6 linked regions of the Coturnix japonica genome follow. The protein of the gene in region 2 binds, or shares a complex with, the protein of the main gene of each other region. Links are inferred from orthologs where the notes say so. Each region holds a gene or a part of one and is shown on either strand. Other genes may lie near its edges. The genes, in order: CHD5, MTA1, CDK2AP2, HDAC2, HDAC1 and CHD4.

Evidence for each region.
Region 1: MTA1 (region 2) and CHD5 share a complex: the UniProt entries of both Homo sapiens proteins name them as parts of the nucleosome remodeling and deacetylase (NuRD) repressor complex. The link is inferred for Coturnix japonica from reciprocal best matches to the Homo sapiens genes MTA1 and CHD5.
Region 3: MTA1 (region 2) and CDK2AP2 share a complex: the UniProt entries of both Homo sapiens proteins name them as parts of the nucleosome remodeling and deacetylase (NuRD) repressor complex. The link is inferred for Coturnix japonica from reciprocal best matches to the Homo sapiens genes MTA1 and CDK2AP2.
Region 4: MTA1 (region 2) and HDAC2 share a complex: the UniProt entries of both Homo sapiens proteins name them as parts of the nucleosome remodeling and deacetylase (NuRD) repressor complex. The link is inferred for Coturnix japonica from reciprocal best matches to the Homo sapiens genes MTA1 and HDAC2.
Region 5: the proteins of MTA1 (region 2) and HDAC1 are in contact, whole or in part, in a cryo-EM structure (PDB 7AO8), measured with the Homo sapiens proteins. The link is inferred for Coturnix japonica from reciprocal best matches to the Homo sapiens genes MTA1 and HDAC1. Residues at the interface, in NP_004680.2 of Homo sapiens: Asn132, Glu135, Ala162, Asp163, Gly165, Glu166, Ile167, Arg168, Val169, Asn171, Arg172, Tyr173, Gln174, Ala175, Asp176, Ile177, Thr178, Asp179, Leu180, Leu181, Glu186, Asp187, Arg189, Gln191, Ser192, Arg193, Leu194, Glu195, Thr196, Gln197; in NP_004955.2 of Homo sapiens: Lys10, Tyr14, Gly20, Asn21, Tyr23, Gln26, Lys31, His33, Arg36, His39, Asn40, Leu43, Asn44, Tyr48, Arg49, Lys50, Met51, Glu52, Ile53, Tyr54, Arg55, Pro56, His57, Glu63, Lys66, Tyr67, Asp104, Val118, Ala119, Val122.
Region 6: MTA1 (region 2) and CHD4 share a complex: the UniProt entries of both Homo sapiens proteins name them as parts of the nucleosome remodeling and deacetylase (NuRD) repressor complex. The link is inferred for Coturnix japonica from reciprocal best matches to the Homo sapiens genes MTA1 and CHD4.

The regions. Positions count from the first base shown.
Region 1 is NC_029536.1:536,692-540,191, reverse strand, and holds part of CHD5 (chromodomain-helicase-DNA-binding protein 5), read right to left. Parts: intron 3,397-3,500; coding exon 3,252-3,396; intron 2,091-3,251; coding exon 1,931-2,090; intron 1,782-1,930; coding exon 1,702-1,781; intron 1,548-1,701; coding exon 1,418-1,547; intron 895-1,417; coding exon 805-894; intron 515-804; coding exon 380-514; intron 215-379; coding exon 106-214; intron 1-105. UniProt on the Homo sapiens protein: ATP-dependent chromatin-remodeling factor that binds DNA through histones and regulates gene transcription. May specifically recognize and bind trimethylated 'Lys-27' (H3K27me3) and non-methylated 'Lys-4' of histone H3.
Region 2 is NC_029523.1:3,940,078-3,943,577, forward strand, and holds part of MTA1 (metastasis-associated protein MTA1), read right to left. Parts: intron 1,715-3,500; coding exon 1,615-1,714; intron 250-1,614; coding exon 61-249; intron 1-60. UniProt on the Homo sapiens protein: Transcriptional coregulator which can act as both a transcriptional corepressor and coactivator. Acts as a component of the histone deacetylase NuRD complex which participates in the remodeling of chromatin.
Region 3 is NC_029520.1:566,315-569,330, reverse strand, and holds CDK2AP2 (cyclin-dependent kinase 2-associated protein 2), read right to left. Parts: upstream 1,560-3,016; 5' UTR 1,432-1,559; coding exon 1,362-1,431; intron 1,171-1,361; exon of another isoform or gene 1,133-1,170; coding exon 1,056-1,132; intron 960-1,055; coding exon 827-959; intron 741-826; coding exon 673-740; 3' UTR 501-672; downstream 1-500. Other genes in the region: PITPNM1 (membrane-associated phosphatidylinositol transfer protein 1), read right to left, coding at 48-125; CABP2 (calcium-binding protein 2), read right to left, coding at 1,933-1,958, 2,119-2,266, 2,360-2,469, 2,558-2,692. UniProt on the Homo sapiens protein: Acts as a component of the histone deacetylase NuRD complex which participates in the remodeling of chromatin.
Region 4 is NC_029518.1:58,985,486-58,988,753, reverse strand, and holds part of HDAC2 (histone deacetylase 2), read right to left. Parts: intron 2,680-3,268; coding exon 2,539-2,679; intron 947-2,538; coding exon 838-946; intron 1-837. UniProt on the Homo sapiens protein: Histone deacetylase that catalyzes the deacetylation of lysine residues on the N-terminal part of the core histones (H2A, H2B, H3 and H4).
Region 5 is NC_029538.1:4,502,600-4,505,256, reverse strand, and holds the end of HDAC1 (histone deacetylase 1), read left to right. Parts: coding exon 1-18; intron 19-138; coding exon 139-285; intron 286-387; coding exon 388-436; intron 437-521; coding exon 522-549; 3' UTR 550-2,157; downstream 2,158-2,657. UniProt on the Homo sapiens protein: Histone deacetylase that catalyzes the deacetylation of lysine residues on the N-terminal part of the core histones (H2A, H2B, H3 and H4).
Region 6 is NC_029516.1:69,333,918-69,338,067, forward strand, and holds the end of CHD4 (chromodomain-helicase-DNA-binding protein 4), read right to left. Parts: exon of another isoform or gene 4,121-4,150; intron 3,923-4,120; coding exon 3,813-3,922; intron 3,634-3,812; coding exon 3,501-3,633; intron 3,253-3,500; coding exon 3,175-3,252; intron 3,054-3,174; coding exon 2,916-3,053; intron 2,820-2,915; coding exon 2,711-2,819; intron 2,392-2,710; coding exon 2,259-2,391; intron 1,690-2,258; coding exon 1,494-1,689; intron 1,378-1,493; coding exon 1,234-1,377; coding exon of another isoform or gene 1,202-1,233; intron 1,102-1,201; coding exon 1,040-1,101; 3' UTR 501-1,039; downstream 1-500. Other genes in the region: NOP2 (probable 28S rRNA (cytosine(4447)-C(5))-methyltransferase), read right to left, coding at 38-143. UniProt on the Homo sapiens protein: ATP-dependent chromatin-remodeling factor that binds and distorts nucleosomal DNA. Acts as a component of the histone deacetylase NuRD complex which participates in the remodeling of chromatin.

The sequences.
Region 1 (3,500 bases), on a different chromosome or scaffold from region 2:
CTCCAGCCCCTTTCCCTGCTCCATCACCTCCCTCCCCAATGCCCTCACAGCACAGCCCCCTCCGCCTGGCACGGGGAGGCCATCACCCACAAAGCCAAAGGGTACGTGACAATCCCTGCCAGCAGCCAGTAGTCATGTCTGCGGTGCCAGATGTCATAGATCTTGCTGGAGGAGATGGCAGCTCTTTCCTCATTCTGCCACAGCGTGTGCAGCTCTGCAGAAACAGAAGAGAGACAGCCTGGTCAGCCAGCAGGGCTGCTGGGCACAGCATGCGGGGCGAGCAAGGAGATGGCCCAGGGAGCCACAGGAACAGCGCTCAGTACAGAGCTTTATGGAGAAGCTCTGCAGGAGTAACCAATGGCTCATCTCTCATTTCTACCTGTAAAGCCTCCATCAGCAATGTTGAACATGAATCTAAAGTTCACATTTCTGTCATCCTTCTTTCCGTCCTCCTCTTCTTTGTCACCATTTTGCTGAGTCTCATTTTGCTCCTTCTCTTCCACCCTGGTATCCTCTGCTGGGCAAACACAGGAAATCACACCTGCCCAAACTCACTCAGCCATCAGAGCGGCTGCTGCTACCACTGCCCTCCCAGCTGCAAGGGGAAGTCCCCACTAAAGTCACTGCTGGAGAAGCCACCAGCCCCACCTCCCACCCACCTGCCTCCCCCAGCAGCTCCTGATGTTTTCATAGCAAGCACAGGCAGTGCCCTGTGCCACCCCCAGACACTTGCCTTGAGTCACTGACCCTGCCCAGCAGGGCACCTTGCACCACTTCTCTCCCCAAAGCCTCCTGGCACTTTACCTGGCTTGACTTCTTTGTCCTCCCCTTTGCCAGGACTGCTGTTGGACTCTGGCTTTTCCAAAGTCTTCTCTTTTTCTTGAGTACCCTCATCTGCAGAAGGGAACAGGACTCTGAGAAAAGCATAACATGTAAAACGCTCTTCAGGAAATAACAGATATGGATTGACTGTAACTTTCAGGGTAAAGTGACTGTATTGTGCACAAGCATTTCTCACAACTTATTTTACATTTAATTTGTAGATTATACTAAACTAATGCTTTAATATTACAGTGTAGATTACATCTGTGATAATGTCGTGTCATTATCTAGACAGCAATCTGGAAGTCCAACAGGAAGCCTTTCTCAGGAACTCCTACTGGACATTGTGACATCCAAGTTTTCCACTGCAATTTGGAGAAGAGAAGCCAGCAGCAAGTGCCAGAGTTTCCCAGCAGAGAGTATCTGCCTGTCAGGAGCACTGAGGCTGTCACAGTGCACACTCTGTGTCTATGCACCTTGAGCTGAAGAAATCCCCCAGCACACATCAATGTCACTGTAACTGTCAGAGCCCTCACAGATGTCCCAGATGCTGCTCAGAATGAAGCCTGTATTCTTCTGAGCCACAGAGACTCACCTTTCCCCAGGGGCTCAGGAGAAGGCTCAGCCTTTTCACTCTCTTCTTGTTTCTCTTCCTTCAGTTTCTCTTTGCTTTCACAGTTTTCTTGGCACTCCTCACTTTCCACCTTCTCAGTGCTTCCAGGCACCTTAACGTGAAGCACCCACACTGGATTAGCACAGCAGCCAGAGGGATGTGATTTGCTTGCAGAGGAATGCTGCAGCATCTCCCAAGAAACACCATTACTACAGCACTGCAGTCTGCAGGGCAGCACTGCGGGCACAGGTTCATGACCCCCCTACCTGGCTGTCAGATGCTCTCCTGGACTTCTGCTCCACTTGGTCCTTTTCCTCCTGGAATCCGAGTGGTGGGTCTGTTTTTTCTGTAACACAAGTAAAGCAAGGAAGCTACAAACAGGAATCCCATTGTGCCAAGGACACAGTGCCAGATACCTGCAAAACTTTCTGGTGTCCTGTTCCACCTCCCTTCCTAAGGTAGACCAAAGCCACAACCAGGGCATTGTGCATTTACCTGCAAGGGCAAGAGGTCCTGCATGTATGTGTGCTGGGCTGGCTGGGACAGGGGTGTTGGGATCTGAAGAAACCATCTCACTGCACTTCTTGCTCTCCGGGCCCTCCAGAATCATGTCTGGGGTGCTGTACTTCCCATTGACATGCTCAAACTCCTGCACCTGGGGCAGACACACAACAGCAAGTCAAACACAGCGGCCAGCAACAGAGCAGCAGCAGGCCAGCCCCATCCAGAGGTGCTCCTACACCCACCACCCCATGTGGCACACTTTGCTGGGCAGCAGGTGCTACTGCCCATGCCCTGCTGCTTTGCAGGGCAGCACCTCCAGCAGCAGTCCTGCTCTGCCCACATGCACACAGAAAGCCTCCCATGCCCCAGCAAGTCCACTGCAGCTGTGCTGGCTTTGCAGACTTAAGGGAGAGGTACTGAGTTAAGACTGTGTGAGTAGCAGAAGGGCAGCATGCGAGTGACCGTGCTGGTGCCCATGTGAAGCCTTGGCAGGCATGCAGGGTGAGCTGCACCCTGGGGGTGCTCATGCAGTGAGTTCACAGTCCTGGACCCATCATGCCTCCATCAAAATGCTCCTTGCTTCCTCTCCACTCCTCTCTTTCACAGAGTCTCTCTTGCACACCCCGTTCCCTAGGCTGCAATTTGTCACTCTCCACACCCAGCAGAGTAACAGTTGATGCTCCAGACACAGCAAAATCAGGTGCCATCACTCCCAGCATCTGCCCTTCCCCACTGCTACACTGGAACTACTGCTATGATCATCTAATGGTCTTCCTGGGACAACTCTGAGTGCTGCACTTGTCAACATATGGGGAGATCCTCTAAACAAGACAGCTGAGGATTCTTCCATACACTTAACTGCCAGTATCCTCGGGGCTCAGCACATGCCTGGGATTAGCAACATGACCAACAGTTATTCAGTCCCAAATCAAGCCCAAACATCTCTCTGAAAGACATGCTTTGGTTCAACAAGATGCTGGACACAATGCAAGACTTGGCAAGTGGAAGTCTCTGGCCTGTACAGTATAGGAGGTCTGAGTAGGTTACTGTAATAGTCCCATCTGAAATGAAAAGAACTATAAATCCAGGAATTTTTTAGAAGTTAAAAATGTGATTTTGCCACGATTTTTTGCCAACCAAGCACTTCTACCTCCAGCTGACCTACATCACTGAAATACCACAGACGTGGCCGTGCACCAAGCCTTGGAGATTCAATAAGGGGATCTCTGGCAAGGAGGCATTCAGCAGCTAACAAAACCCCCAGGTATCCAGAACGTACCTGAAGGGCACATGTAAGATTTTACTCACCCACCTTCTTCCTTACTAGTGACATAACTCCGATCCGAGTCAGCACGTGCTGGCGAGAAAGACCTTCCCGTGGGACCCCATCTGCAAATGTCTCTGCACCATCAGCTCCAGGTTCACACAAATGTCGCATGAACAGGGAGACATAAGCCCTGTGGAAAGAAAGCAAGAGCTGGCTCTAGCTTGGACCAAGAGCTCCCTGCTGAGCACCCGCAGTGCCTGTTTTCACCAGCGGCCAAGGGCAGAGTTTTGCCCT
Region 2 (3,500 bases):
CCAGTTCCATCCCTGATCAGAATCAACCTCATCATGCAGACCCCCACTTTATATACTTACAAAATCTTGCTGAATGTCAGTGAAATCTTTTCCGTATTTTTCTAGTGCTTCCTCAAAGAGGTTTGCCTCTGAAGCAGACCACTCCTCCATCTCATCTCTACACAGGACTGGCCCACCTTGTGGCACAAGCGCAGAGATCGCCTTGGAAATGTCATAGACATTTTTGTGCAAAGTGTCCATAGCATGGAACTACGTGTTGTAAGAGAGAAACAAATGTAAGAACAAGCTCCCAGTGGGAAAAGCACTCAGTAACTTAGCAGCAGTAGCAGAAACCATGCAGCAATATCTGTGGATAACGTACACTACATCTGCATCAAGTCAGATGCAGATACTTGCTCCAACCCCAGACTCAAGATAATTTTCAGTGTACAAGTCTTAGGTTCACTAAAAATGGTGGGATTTTTTGGAACGTGAGCATCTGCATATGAGTAATTCCTACTTTAGCTAATCCCTAGCATCACCACTGCAGCACTGCTGCTAAGAAAATGCAGGGGATAGAGCCTCACTCACCAGATGGAGCATGAAGATGGAAGTCTGAGGGTGTATTTTCTAATAAACTTAGCCATGCGCTTCTTTTGTCAAATAATCCTCACAAATTGCATATAAAACAAATATTTAAGCACGCAGACACAGGTCCCAGATGTCACAAACCCCAAAAAGAATTTAAGTCACATCTAATAGCTGACTAGGAAGAACTACTCCCAAGAGTGCGCAGTTATTCATCAGAAAGCTGAGCTACAACTGCTGGTGACTTATGATATACGAGGGGGAAGAACACACTGAGAGCGAGGGGTTGGTATTGAAAGTGAAAGCTGGGCTTTGTATCTGTCTTTTCTATCAGGATGTTATTTGTCTTCCATCTACCAGAGTTTTGTGCATAATAAACCTACAGTGTTTTATCCTAAAGTTTGTTCTGCAAATGATTTCATATTATATCAGTTATGAGGTGAGATTTTGATAACAGCACTCTGGAGACTTCATAACTTTTATTCACACTTCCATTTAACTCTTCCTAGCATAGACATTTCTTTTTTCCCTTTCCTCTCTATTAAGAATCCTTTACAAATACAAAATATTCATAGTACGCCCACTGCTTCAGTGCTTTAAAACCAAGCTCAAAGAAAACCCCATCAACTGAAATTCCTTATCTGACCACAAACCCTTCCCCCCCAGACCATTTTGCCCAAAGATGGCTGTGGCAGTTGGGAAAGCAGTAAGTGGTATTTTGGCATTACAGCATTGAAGACAGGCAGGTATCACATGGGTTCTTGTTAAGACCATTACTCACTAAGCCTAGGTAAGAGATGGGCTGTGAAGCATGGTCAGAACATTAAAGAAATAAAAATTCTGAGCTACCCATGATGGATCATAAGGAGGCACAAAGCCAGAAATAGTTACTTCAACGTAAATAAAGGGCTCCTTTACAAAGACAGGATCTGGTTCACAGCAGGCCACAATTACAGTCCATCTGCCCCTTTCCCTTTGCCAACTGTTATTGAGGAGGTGAATTATATTACATCTCTCAGTAACTGAAGGCCCACTTAAAAACCTTACCAGTGTGATGTCCCTAGAGGCTGCTGCAGCACTCATGTGTAAACTAGGTTGCCTGACAGAACTACTGCAGTCCAGTGCTCGGGCAAATGTACCAACAGACCTGAAAGAAATAACAACGGAGCATTAACTCTGCATGCAAAGCAAGCATAAATATCAACACCCAACCAACATTTTTTGGGATCAGCAGACTCCACTTCTCAGTAACAAGATTCCATGTCTTGGCACTACTTCTGAGCCAGGGACCGTTCTCTTCAGATGTGGTTTGTTATTATGAATGCTCGACTGTGCACAGTTTATATGACCAAATAGACTCAGGCAGGAGAACAGTGGAGGACTCCAAGATCACAAACAGGCAGTTTCGAACCATCTCATCCTCTGTCTCTTAACATAAACTTTTGAATTAAGGTTCAAAAGAGAGTGATTACAAGTGACCTTTATGAACAGCAGCCCTAGTAGTGCTGTGTTGTCCAAAGGCACATCGATACATGCCAAGACATGACAGGAAAAAAAAAAAAAAAGAATACAGGAACAATCATTTTCCAAAGCTGCAGAAAAAGTACGACATAGTATAATGTTGTAAATATATATTTATTATATGTACCGTAATATATAAAAAAGAGTATTTAAAGTATAAACAGGCCGTGTAAAAGGATAGCAGTCCTCAGATAGTTCTCTATGCCAGCCACTCCTGTTTGCGAGGCTGCAATTCCCAGGCTCCTCATTTTACCCCAGAAGAAATGAGCTGGAGAACTCTACAACAGGAACACTGGTTCCAGTAATTCCCACTCCCCTGGCTGCTTGTTGCAGCACACAGTTGGGAACACTCCTGCACACTGAACTGGAGCTGAACTCTGAGAAATTACAACAAAATCAATTCCCCCCCCTCCAGCACCCCCTCACTCTGTTCACTTCCCCAGACTAGTTGACTGGCTGAGTGCATAGAAGAAAAAAAAAAAGGTAAATACTTAGGCAGTAATCCATCAAATATCTGATTTTGGTCCAAAGCCAAATCTGCCCCCGCAAGGCTTTGGTGCATTCACACTTCACCCTCTCCCCAGCCTCCTACTCACTCATCCTCATTGCTGCTTCACAGCTCCCCTGCTTGCAGAACTGATACTTTAATTTTTTTTTTGTGGTACCTAATTAGAAACTGGATCACTTTACTGATTCTGGGTAGAAGCAATCTTCATACTGATCATTTTGGGGTCTTTTGCCAGCAGGCAACCTCACATGGCTCTATCAGCAAACCAAGCAGGCAGCAGAAAATGGCCAGAACTGCTAGAAGCAGCTTCACAACCAAAAAGCCTACATGAGGTGGAAAGTGCCATCACAGAGCAACTCTGTGGTCAGTCTAAACCAACCCAATGCAAAACCCCCATCAACAAGGCCTTCCACCCTCTGGTTTCCTACTGAGTGCTCCTGACACCAAGATCACAGCAACATGTGGCTGAGTGGCATCGTGAATCAATGCTGCTGGAAGTCAGCTTATCAAATGAGCTCTTTATTGAAGGGCCCCAAAAGCAGCAGGAGTCCTTTGCTGGAGATATTCCAGCTTTCTCCATCTCTTCTCCTGCATCACCGATAGAGATTCTTCTCCCTGCTTTCAGCCATTTCCTTATGCGCATCTGTTTAAGCACAAGGGCTGCTCCAAAAGTAATGTCTCCTATTCTATTACGTTAGCTCACAATGCCAGAGGCCAACAGAAAGAACACCATATGCAAGTTTATCAGGACCTACTGAACTAATACAGAACTGACAGTTTCCTGGACAGCATAATGACCAGCAATGAGATGTGGTGTGTAAAAGCTGGAGTCAAAACAGCAGCCCATGGAATGGCAACATGTCAATCTCCCATAGAAGAAAAAGTTGAAGATGCAGCTCTCAGC
Region 3 (3,016 bases), on a different chromosome or scaffold from region 2:
CCCACACGACCCCCCCCCCCGGGCCGCAGCCCAGGCCCCATCCGCACCTGGATCATGTAGAGCTGCGCTACCTGGTACTCCTCCAGGCTCATGGGCAGCAGGATGTGGTACTCCTTGATCAGCATGGCGCCGTGTTTAGGGGAAGGGGCGAGGGGTGGGGGGGGCTCCGCGGCCCTCCGCCGTTAACCCGGCCCCGGCCCGGCCCGCTTCGGCCGGGCCCTCCCCACTGCCATAGCAACGCGCCCCCCGCCCGCTCGGCCGCGCTCTCGGCTCCCTTCGGCTGTTTCCGTCACCCTTCGGCTCCTTTCGGTTCCCTTCGGCTGCGCTCGGCCCCTTCCGAACCTGCGCCGCTCTGAGCCGGCCCCGCGCTGTGTGACGTCACGGCGTGGGGGGCGCCCGCTGACGTCAGGAGGTGGAACAGCGTGGGGGGGGGCGTGACGTCAGAGGGGACGTCAGAAGCGGGGGGGCGGCGGACCGGGAAATTAAAACGGAGCGGTATATATGGGGAATTGGGGGCTTGGAAGGAGGATTTCCTTTATAAGGGGGGGGATGCAGCACGTCCTTTATTTATAAAAGCCGGAAGGTTGGGGCGGGGGGAGCCCCGGGGGTGGCCCCGTTCGGGGGGAGCCACCGGCGGGGCTCGGGGGGGGGGGGGGGGTCGGGGGGCTGCTGTCACGTGCGGGCGTTGCGCTCTGTCTCGGCCAAGCACTCCCGAACCAGCGCCCGAGCGTGGATGATCCCTGAATGGGGGGGATATGAGTGAGCACTGAGCTCCGGGCTTAAGGGGGGGGGAGGGTCACAGAGGGTCGCCCCCCGGGCTCGTTACCCCGCTTGAGCCGCTCCATGGCGCTCTTGCTGCCGGCGTAGGTGGGCCGGATCTCCCTGCCCATCTCCTCGATGACAGACAGCAGGTCGCTGTAGGTGCTCTGCGAGCCCGGAGCGCCGGGCGGCTTCATGGTCTGACAGGGGATGGAAGGCGAGGAGGACGGAGGGGGGGGGGCTCAGCGTCGCCCCACGCCGCCCTCCCGCCGCGTGCCCCTGCCCCGCGGGCTCACCTGCACGTAGCCCATGGACGGCGGCCCGAAGTCGTTGAAGAGCGGGCGGAAGGCGGACGGCGAAGGGACGCTGGGAGCTGCGGGGAGCGACCCCGGGTCCGGCCCTTCCTTCGCACTGGGGCCGGGCCCGTCACCCCTCAGCCCGGCCCCGCTCGGGCCCAGCTCCGTCCGCTCCCTCCCTCAGCCCCGACTCCCCTCCGCACTCTCCGTCCCTCTCCCTTAGGCCCCGCCGCCCCTCAGGCCTCGTGCCCCTCCTTACGCCCTCTTCTCCCCCCACCCCCGCTCTATCCCCGGGGCTCCTCTCACCGGCGGCCGTGGCTGCGGGCCCCGGGGCGGGGCTGGCGCTGGGTGCGGGCGCGATGGGTTTGTAGGACATCCCGCAGCGCTCCGGGCCGAGCGGCGCCCGCCGTGTGCAGGAGACGGAAGCGAGCGGGGCGACCCCCCCCCACAACCTCCCGCTGATTGGTCAGACGGAGCGACCCGGCGGCGCCGATTGGTCGACGGCACGAAGGGAGCCGGCCTGCGCTGTCGGGGGAGCGCGGTGATGACGTCACGAGGCGCACGCCGCCGATACGCAAACATGGCGCGCCGGGCTCCCATCACCATGGAGACCAGCGGCGTCCTGCACCCCCCCATCACCCCCACCCCCACAGCGAGGGCCAGAGGCCTCCCCCGGCACTCAACGGACGGGCACACGGCACCCGGCGGCACACAGCTTCATTGCGAACCGGCAGCGCTGCCAACACACCGACACGGGGCTCCAACACCGGAGCTCCCCCCCCACACACACCATGAGGGGCAGCGCAGGCCCGGGAAGGCCGCCTCCTCCTCCTCCTCCTCCTCCTCCCGGTAAGGCACGGCGGCGAGTCCCGGCCCTTCAGCGCGACATCATCCGCACAAACTCTGCACAAAGAACCACAGCATTAACCCCAAATAAAGCCGGCAATAAGCCCCAAATACAGCTGGCAATAGGGAGGCCCCCCCATCCATGGCTCCATTGTCCCCCAGTTAAAGCTGGGATCAATAGGGCCCCCCCCCCCTCCTTCACCCTGCCCCCATTTACCTTCAAAGTCCACCAGGCCGTCCCCATTGAGATCCACGTCCTTGAGGATCTCGTCCACCTCGCGGTAGTTGAGCTGCTGGCCCAGCAGCTTCCTCATGGCCTCCCGCAGCTCCGCCATGCTGATCTGCCCGTCCCCATTGGTGTCGAACTGCCCCATAGGAGACCCAGCATCACCACTGTGCTCCCAGCACTGCACCCCCTCCCCTCCCCCAATCCCGGCCCTGCTGCCCCCAGCCCTCACCTCACGGAAGGCATCGCGCAGCTCCTTGATCCCAATCATATCCGCTGTCTCCGCCAGCATCTTGGGGCCCATCAGCTCCACAAAGTCATCAAAATCCACTTTGCCGCCTGCTGGAAGGACCAAAGGGGGATTACAAATCAGCGGGGGTGGTACCACTGTGGCAATATGGGGTTACTTCCCCCTTGTCCTGGCACCTACTGATCTGCTGGGACAGCTCAATGAGCTCCATCTCGGTGGGCATGTAGCCCATGGTGCGCATGCATTCACCCAGGTCCTTGTAGCTGATGTAGCCATCGCGGTCCTTGTCAAACTCCTTGAAGGCTTGTTTCAACTCTAGGGGCAGCACAGGGAGAATGGTGACACCTATAGACAGCCATGGGGGCACCCTACAGGTGGGGGCAGGTGAGGACGAAGGGAGCAGCACTCAGACAGGGACTGTGAGGGATAGATGCTGAGATGGGGACCAGCATGGGGAGCTGAAGAGAATGGGTGTGAAGATGGGGACTGAATGGGAAAGGTGGCACAATGGGAACTGGGATAGGGAGCCAGTGGAACAGGTGCTGATATGGGGACTGAAGAGAACAGGTGTCAAGATGGGGACAAAGCACATTAAGAACATGAGAACTGGGGCAGGGAGCCAGGAGAAAAGGTGATGAG
Region 4 (3,268 bases), on a different chromosome or scaffold from region 2:
GACAACTACCTCAGTATCCCCCTGCACAATTCAAAGAATGAAATGGCAACTGAGGTTTTATGAGATCCTTACAGTCTCTGTTTCTATTACATGACCTTCTTCTAAATCCAAATCAGGAACAAAACAATTGTAAACAATGAGTACTTCAGGTTAACCAATTATCTCTTTATTAGATGAGTACAGATTTGATTATTCTTAAGTATTATTCCATTTCTGAAGACCAATATTAGTTTACAAACCTTCATGATGTGGGTAGGCATAAACTGAAGAAGCAAAGCCTAAGAACACAATATCTACAGCTTGTCAATAAGTACTTCACAAATCTTGTGGACTCATCAAACTACAGTCTCTCAATCGCTTGCACACATCTTTCCATAGTTTTTAATGTCTCCTCACATGATTTCTATTTTTAAGGCTGACAGCTACAAAGAATGACAATCACTCGTGTTTGGACAAGGGAGTAGAGAATTTGGAAGCCTAATAATCAGTGCACAGCACAGCTTCTTTCCTGACAGGATAAATTTCTTACAAAATCAGAGTAAGCCAAATAAAACAGTCAACTCTTTCATTTCTGGAAGAAGGGGAAAAAGCCACCGAAACTGAGTCCTAAGCCTTTCTTCTTTAAATACTCAGGACTCATAAGCACAGAAAATGTTGTAGGCACAGATATTTTAATTAAAATTTCATCTTCTGATAAAACGGAAAAAAATGTCTTTTCTATTCAGTACTTTTTCAGCGTGTAGTAGGGAATGGAACTCTCAAACTTGTGTAAATATTAAACCTTTAGAGAAGCACAACTCACACATGTACTTGGCAAATAATGTAAGCACTACTTACTTGATCTTCTCCATATATTCTGGTGTATTTTGGTTAGTCATGTTTGAGGGACTAATATGAAGTTTGAAGTCTGGTCCAAAATACTCAAAGTAATCATTGTATGGTAATTCTATAAATAGAACAGAAAAGACAACTGTGACCCAATGGTGATTTTAATCATTTTAAATACAAAGTGCACACAAAATACAAGAAGTATCACCTTCAGTGTTTTTCTCTAAATTACTCAACACATTAAGTTAAACATGCTTTCTTCGCACAATACAATAAGAACAAAATAAAGTTCTATTAAAATAAGTTTTAATAATGTTAGAACACATGTTGACAATGCTTAGGTAACAAAATTGATAATTAAAAAAGCTAATTTTGGAGATGTGGTACAATTAACTGATATTATTTACAGGTACTTCCAAGTTACCTTATGTGAGCCAGTAAGGATTTTTTTCCAGTAAAACCTATGATGGGGTACAAAGGTTGCTCCAAAAGTAATGCTTCCTATTTTATGATGTTAGCCCATGACAGCACAGGCAGATGCTAGTGGTAGCATAGTAGAAGTTGAACCTTCCCACCAATATTCTGTTAAATTTTGTTGCCACGTGACAGATGGCAGCAAAGGGGCAGTCTGACAGAACAATATCTGACATGAAGTGCAGATGAAATAAAGGTGTAGAACTGAATTTCTCCATGAAGAGAAAATAGCACCTACTGACATTCACTGATGCTTGCTGAGCATTTATGGAGACCAAACAGTAGATGCGAGCAAAGTGAGGTGGTGGGTAGAATGTTTCAGCAGTGGTAACATAGACAGTGGGACACATCTCTGCTGGTGCCGACTTTAAAGTGTGGTATGCAGGCTCTTATTCATCACTGCTAAAAATTCATAGTTAGTGGTGATTATGTTGGAAAACAGTATTTTGTAGCTAAGAGTTTGCTGTATCAAACAACGTTATTGTTCTTTTTGTACATGCTGCAGTTTTTACAGAAATAAGAGAGACTACTTTTTGGAGCAACCTATGTATATCAAAACGTTACCAGTAAATCTGCAGTCCAACGTGAAAGCTGCCAATGGCTGATGTAACAAGACAGTTCAAATACTAATTTCATAGAAAAGCTTTCAAAAAATATGTCCAGAAGCATACTTGGCCAGAATTACAGGGAGTGTAGGCTCTATGGAGATATTCCTCAGATAAATTACTTAATTATTCAAGAATTTAAAAGAAGCTGACTATTGCTATTTTGCTTTAAAAGTTGTAAGAGCTTGCATAGCCAAAATTGAGGCAATTGGAACAGATGATGTCAATAAGGACACTTTTAGGTCAAAGATATAATGAAGAAATAAAGTTTTACCGTGCAAAATGGGTACTTATACACTCAGACTTTTCTTATAAACACCGTATCTGCATTACCCAGCTTAAACATGTCTGTGCTGTCATAATAAAAACACTGCCAAACATATGATAACATATATACTAAGCGACCTGATAATTTTAAGCTTTGATAAAAGCATAAGCAAGCCCTAAGTCTCTAAACTTCATTTAGTATATAAGCTTGTGAAAAGTTATCAGCTGAGCCTTAACAATGGCTTTCTCTATAGTTCATTCTAAACTGACACACAGAACTTGGCAAATATCTCCATAATTATCCTTCCACATTGACCTTCCTATGATTATTTCTTAATAAGGTATGAATTTGTGGAATATTTACCATTAGGAATTTCACAATCTAAGGCAACAGCAGTTTCATATGTCCAGCAACGAGCAACATTGCGAATAGTATATCCACCTCCTCCTAACATCAGCAACGGCAAGTTGAAAGTCTTTACAACTTCCACACATTTTGCATGACCTGTGACAAACAAAAAATATTTGACAATATATGCAAAACATTCAGTAAGTAAGAAGAAAAAGTGATTTGTATATACTCTTATATGCTTAGAGTTCATTATACGTGATACTTATCAAGTAAGAACTGAATTGATTCAAGTAAAACAGAATTGTCACCCTCTACAGCTAAGCATAATTTCACAAGTCAGTTAAGATGCATATAAAACACTCTGAACATTATCCGTCCCCATTTTCAGAGACTTTGGATGATGGCCTCCTACCACTGTAGTTCTGAAATGCTCTTAGAACAAGTATTTTGTGTTTTGTATTGATATTAGCTATGGAAAGACAGTGACAAATCTAGGGATAATTTCTCAGCTAAACACAAAGTGGGAAGAACGAAAAAAAAGTAAATCAGTACTTGCTCCTTTCTACTTCTAAATTTGAACCTGTACAAAAGGTTGCTAAGTCTTGCTTACAGAGTAAACTGGTGCCAAGACAGTACACAGTCCAGGTAGATACAGCATACTGAAAGGCATCTGTAGGAGGCAGCAGCTCTCTTGGTTTCCAAGATATGTAAGATGAAAAAAAATCTGATCTGTATGGGCAAC
Region 5 (2,657 bases), on a different chromosome or scaffold from region 2:
CTGAGAAGCGCATTTCAAGTAGGTGCTTGCCTCTGGCATGGCTGCATTGCTCTGCTGGGAAGTGCACTGCACAGAGCCTGTACATCTCCAAGCATTAGTGCGCAGTATCTTCTGACCTCTTCTCCCCTTCACTCTCAGTCCGCAATTCTGATAAGAGAATATCCTGTGATGAAGAATTCTCTGACTCCGAAGATGAAGGGGAAGGAGGGCGCAAAAACGTTGCCAACTTTAAGAAGGCCAAACGTGTGAAAACAGAAGAGGAAAAGGAGGAGGAGGAGAAGAAGGGTAAGCACGAGGGCTATGGCTGGAAGCCCTCCCAGCTGTGTAGAGCACTGCCTGATGTGTGCTTTCCTACTGCCCTCCCATGCCTTTATTTTTTTCTCCTAGATGAGAAAGAAGAGGAAAAAGCAAAAGAGGAGAAAGCTGAACCCAAGGGGTGAGCACGGTGTCTCTTGACTTGGCACTTCACTGTCTGAGTTTGTATTTGTTTAAACCAGATTCTCCACTGCTTCCTTCCACAGGGTGAAGGAAGAGGCAAAATCCACCTAAGATGGCTGCGGCTGGACGGCGCCTGTCAGTGCGTGGTTGTCGTAGGTTAGCTTCTCCGGTTGCCTCCCATTCCACAGGATTTATATTTTATATATGTTTCTGTATATATTTCTATATAAATATATAAATGACTTGAGAACTGTAAATTATTCCTCGCTGCACTCCGCTGGGAGCAGGCAGGGAGGACTGCAGAGTAGAGAGACCCACATTGCCCAGCATTGGAACTGGGAAGTTTTGCTCTTTGCCTCCCACCAGCTCCTCAGTGTGTCTTTAAGAAAGAATCACTTCCTTTCTTTGCTCTCCTCTGAAGTAACCGCCCTTAAGAATGAATAATTTAAGTAGAAGTAGCATCTGCATTTCAGGTTAGGTGGGAAGATGGCCATGAAGCTTTTGCTTTTTTTCTGCTTCTTTTCCTTTTTCTCTCTCTTTTGTTTTGTTTTGTTTTTGTGGGAGATGTGAATTCCCAAATGAAGCCTGTGAGAGACGGAGCGTCCTTTGGTCTTCAGTCTGATTCCACCACGGCAATAACTACAAGCCGGTGCCGCTTCTCAGGGTCAAATAGTGCAGTTCTTGGACAGAGTTGGCTACTTTCCTGCAGCAGACTTGTGGAGAGAGGTGAAACAGCTGACAGGCAGATCAGGAGGTGGATGGAGTGAATCTGCCCAGAGCCCTGCAGGTAGAGAGCTGTGGGGATGGACCCTTCCCGGGATGTGGCGGATCCCATTGGCAGCGCTGTGTGTCTTTGTACACTCGTTTCCTAGAGCTGTGCCCCTCTTTGCAGGGGGGAGGTGAGTTACTGCCCACCTGGCTGCCTGCTTCACTCTGCTGCTGCCCTCAGCTACACGTGCTGTAATTGCTTCAGTGCTGATCCGTGTCCTTGCTGAAAGCACAGCAGAGCAGGACAGACGGGCAGGGCCCAGCTGGTGCCTCTGCTCCACGTGCCACTTACTAAGAATCTCCTCCTGGAGCAGGCACGTTTTCGAGCGGATCCTTCCCTCTCTTTGCTCTCAAGGCCAGTAAATGCTGAGAGCCTTTTATCAGCAGGCAGCGCTGTTATCTGTACGAGGGAACAGCAGATGGGGCTCTGTACGTTTCTAGAACTACTCCTCTTCCTACTCCCACACGTTATCTCACACCCAAAGGTCTTTTGTGCTCAGAGCCGGCCTTTCTCACACCTTGCTTTGTACAGCTGAGCGTGAGATGAGCGTTCCACCAAGAGCTCCAGCTTTGCACAAGTTTTGCAGGCAGTTGTGACTCGCTGCTCTCCTTTCTCAGGGCGATTCCTCTGTCCATAAGAGGGTCTGTACCTCCCACGGGGCTGCTGCTGCTGGTTTCAACTCTAATAATGCTGCTAACTTAACACAGGTTATTTTTGAAATGTTTTATTTTTTTACGTGCTTTTCCTCCCTTTTTCCACCATCAGTTTTTTGTAGCCTCTTGGAACCCGAGTGACGTCTCACTCCCGCTCTTCAGTGTTTGTATGTGAAGCGAGAGGGATGGGTGCATCTTTGTGTCCTGGGGAGGGGAGGGGGGGAAATATATTGTGGTTTTTTAAAGATGCTTTTATTTTAAATTTGGAGAACCTTTGTAATAAAACGTCCATTTCTATGGTTGGTCTGAGCTGGAGCTGCTTTGTGCGCGGGGTGGAGTCACAGTGTGCTGCAAGAGGAGCCTCCCCTGCTATAGGGTGATGGACGTGGATGTGTTGGTTGAGTGCTGAGGGCCAAAGCAGTGTGTAGGAACATGCAGCGTGCAGCAGATCCTGCTGCAGGTGTTGAAATTCCCTTTATTTCCCTCAATTTTATAGCGCAGCCTTCAGCCCCCAACACACACACACACACTGCAATCCCACACGGGGCCGTTCCCATCGCAGCCCTTTGTGTGCTGTTAATGCTGCACTGCCTGCTGCTGAAGGCAACCATGATCATCCATAGAGACGATGGGTTACATGGCGCTTTAAAGCACTTGGGTGCTTATTTCTTGCATGAGTGCCTGGGTTGTGGTTTTTATTTGCAATCTGCTGTTCAATTAATTAGAAAAATAACGATTAAATGAGCCGGGTGGTTTTGCCTCATAAGGAGAGGAGGAAAAGCTTCGAGTGCCACAGC
Region 6 (4,150 bases), on a different chromosome or scaffold from region 2:
AGCGCCAAGGCCCCGGGCCGCCACGGGCCGCACTTACCGGGCGGCAGGAAGCGGGCCAGCTCCACCTCGGCCCCCCGCTGCTTGCGGGCCTTGCGCCCGGGGCCGCGCTTCTCCTTCTTAGTCGGGTCCAGCTTCCGCCCCATGGCTCCGGTACAGCCGGCACCGCCAACAACCCACGTGCGGGCCAACCCCTGCCGCGCACGCGCTCGTCCGCCGACCCGCCCCCGGCCCGGTATTGGCTGCGGGGCGGAACGTCACGGGCCACGTTGACCAGGTTGGACGGGGCCCTGGGCAACCTCGTCTAGTAAATGTGTATGTTTGGTGGCCCTGCCAGGCAGGGGGGTTGGAACTACATGATCCTTGAGGTCCCTTCCAACCTGGGTCATTCTGTGATTCTGTGGGCCGGCACGAGAGACGGCAGGGCCTCTCACAGCCCAGCCCAAGGCAAAGCAGGAGGATTCAGGCCTAGAGAGAATCAGTGCTGCACAGAAACCTCAAAGTAAAATACAAGGAAACTTTATTTTTCAGTTCTACCAAGATTTTGCTCTGCTTTTGTCCTTTTGCTTTTTGTTGTGTTTTTTTGTTGTTTTTTTTTTTCACTTTATTTTCTCCTCTCCGAGCTGCTTAATGAGCGGACAAGTCCCGTCAGTTTCTGTATTAAAAAGGATCTCGATGGAGGTAGCTTTGTCTCTGTCCTGGCTTCTGCTTCATCTCGCCTGTGCGGTCACATCGGTAAACAAACCCAAAAAGAAAGTTACAAAACTGAAAACGTGGAATTCCAGGCGGAGGCAGCGAGCAACGCAGCCAGGTTCTCCATGTAACAGCCATGGCACCGCGGCCTTCAGTCACTATGTACAGAGTCCATCATCCATCCGTCCCCCTCTCTCCTCAGCACACTCCTCGCTCCGGTGGGCTGGCCGTAATGGAAGGAGGTTCTCCCTCCTCCCAGAGACTCGCACGGCAGCTTCCACGAAGAAACGGCACCCGGTCAGGAATGTCAGGCAGAGGGGCAGAGTGTGAAGGGGTGGGGCGGGGAGGGTCACTTCGGCTTGGCCAAAAGATTGACGGCACCGGGCTGGAGACTCACTGCTGCTGCGCCACCTGTAGGGCGAGAGAACAGCCGCTAGGCTCTGTAGTATGGGGGCTATTTCCCCACATAGCCCCGAGACACCCCCGCCTGCAGAGCAGGGAGGGCACATACTTGTTGGGGAGGGGGCGGTGGAGGGGGCTCACTGCTGCGGTTGGCGAGCCTGCTGAGGATGTTGCGTTCCGACATCTGCAGGCGCACTGCCACCGGCGGGATACGGGCAATAGTGGCAGGCAAGCGTGTCACGTCAGCCTTCATGTCACTCAGAAGCTCCTCGAGCTGCTTCAGAACTAGAAGAGAAAGGGACATGGATTCAGGGCAGAGGAAGGAGGAAAAAGAAGGTCTTCCCCATGTGTGGTGCACAAGATGCTCAACACATCCACTCTTGCTTAGCCCATAACATCACCTTTGTGCAGCACGGCGTTGGCAGGCTTATTCCCAGCCATTGACTCCTTGGATAGATGCTGGTGACTCTCGGCCAGGCACTCCACCTCTGCAAAACGTGTGTTCAGAGCCATTGAAGGATGAGAGGGGTCTTCTGACATATTCAGATAGGCAGCTCGCCGCAGCTGCTCCTCAATCACCAGGGCCTGCTCCAGGAGCTGCAAGAGGGGGCAGTCATGTGAGAAGTCCTCCAGCAGTTGCCTGCTTGGATGTCCCTCTCCAACCCCACCACAGTCTTCCTGATCTAGTCATTGTCTGTCACAAGGTGGAACCCTGAAACTCCTTTCACCATCTTCTGTTTAGCTTGGTCTAAATATTGAGAAACAAAGAGCTTCATTAAGCCAGGCTCTGTATACAAGAAAATCAACCAACTTATGACCAGTCTAAAGTGCTGTGAACAGATTCATATTCCTCTGCCTTCTTAAAGGATTTCTGAAGTAAATCTTTGATCTTTCTGCATGAAGCACAGGAGATGAAGCTTTTTTTTCCCCCAGTGAACCTGAGAAGTATCCAACCAAAGAGGAAGAATTCAAGAGAAACTGTTAAACATGTCAGAGTCCTCTGAAGAAATCAATTTGAATTCTATTGTAGCAGAGCTGACTGGCCAAACTACACTGATGTTTAGTTCCGAGACTCAGAATTACATGGCCTAACTTGGGTTGGCAGCCATCTTGTTCTTAAAAGCTCATCTTGCTGAAGGGCATTTGTCACAATGAAGGTGCCTTACCTTGAATCTCCTTGCCAAGAATTTGTTCTTTATTTCCAGGAAGTTACCCCTGTTCATCTCTCCCTTGAAGGGCTCATTGAGGATGGCGTAACGCGGATCATTCTGAATATCTTGCCAACGGGCATAGCCATGACTGAGATGGGATGAGCTCAGGCAAACAAAGGCAGTGAGAACATGGGAATACACAGTCCAGGCAGACAGTTTTTGAGGGGGTCAGGGAAGGGGACACAAAGAGGGGAGGAACAGGGGCCAAGAAAGAGGAATGAGAACTATTTCCTGCTAGGTCTTAATTACACCGACACTAAAACCCTCCTCCCATCATTTCTTTCACTCTACTGAATGATAAAAAGCACTCTCTCTCTGAACGCGTTCCAGTCAGGCCCCAAACGGTCACCTTCACAACAAGATTTAAAGCACAGGGGGAGAGAACTGGTTTCTCAGGGCAAGGATACTTGATAATTCCAGCAAGCAGCCAGTAGTCATGACGCCGATGCCAGATCTCATATGTCTTCTTTGTGACAGTTGCGGCCCGCTCTTCGTTCTGCCACAGGGAGTGTAATTCTGGACAGGCAAGATACACAAAAATAATGGAAAGTTACCTCATGAACGAGAACAGGAGAATATAAATGAGTTAAAATATAAAAAGATTTCACATACCTGTGAAGCCACCATCAGCTATGTTGAACATGAACCGTTGCTTTACTGCCTTTTTGTGCCTTTCATCTACTGACTCTTTCAGCATCTCTCCGTTCTGCAGCATCACCACGTCTCTCTTATCATCATCCTTTTTCTCATCTGCGTGCACAGAAGTCATTAGAAAGAACATGGCAGATAGCATAGCAAGTTGGACCTACAGGAAGTCCTTGCAGGAGAGGGAGTCATGAAGGGAATCAGGAATGGAATTATCACGACTCACCTTTCTCATCCAAGGTGATTACAGGGGGGTCAGAGGTATTCTCAGTAGGTGCTCTGTCTTCTGCCTTCTCCACATCAGCTGCAAGAGAGAAAGGGAGTATGAGATGTAACTATGAGCTCAAGCTTTTGTTCCTCAGTCAATGAAACCAAGGTGTTCCCTGACTCCCTGCTCAAAGTCATGGAACAGTCTCCACCAGTTATCCATTTATGTCTGCTTCTATAAGGTGAAAACACAGGCAAAGAAGTTGCATCTTTAGGAGGATACTGGTGTTCATTTTTTGTTCAGCTGTTTGTGTTCAAGGTATTAAACAACCTCTCTAGAGATACCTTTGTTTTCCACTTCCATTGGCTCATCTGTTCTTTCCTTCACCTCTGGTTCTTCTTTCTTCTCATCTGTTTCTGTGGAATTCACTGGGGATTTTGCTTCCTGTGGTGCTGCCTCCGTAGGCTGGGCACACTGCTGAGGACAGATCAATGAGCAGTGAAACAACGCAGCGTATGCAAACAAGACAGTCAAACCAGTTTGGAAAGCAAATCCGCACAAAACTATTACACACTGATTGTGAGAACATGAGGAGAATCATCTCTAAGTAGAGACATTTGCAACTGCATGAGGCAAACTAGCATCCCAATACCCACCTCCATAGGGACCTCTGTGTCATTAGCAGAGGCACTGAGTTCTTTCTCTGGCTCAGCAGACTCTCCTTGTTCCTTGTTACTGGCTCCTTCTTCTGCCTTTATTCCCTCTTCTGTGTATTCCCCACCCCAGAGCGGCATATCAGATAAAAAAAAAAAGAAAAGAAGCCATCAGTGAAGTGTTTCCCCCACTGTAAACATGCACATATCTTTGCTCCTAGAGAAAATGCCCATTCAAGCAGGAACAACATCGCTCAAGATGAACCCACAGACTTCCTACCAACCGCAAACACAGGGTACTTATTTTCACTGATGTCCTCTCTTGCCTTTAAGGGTTTGCA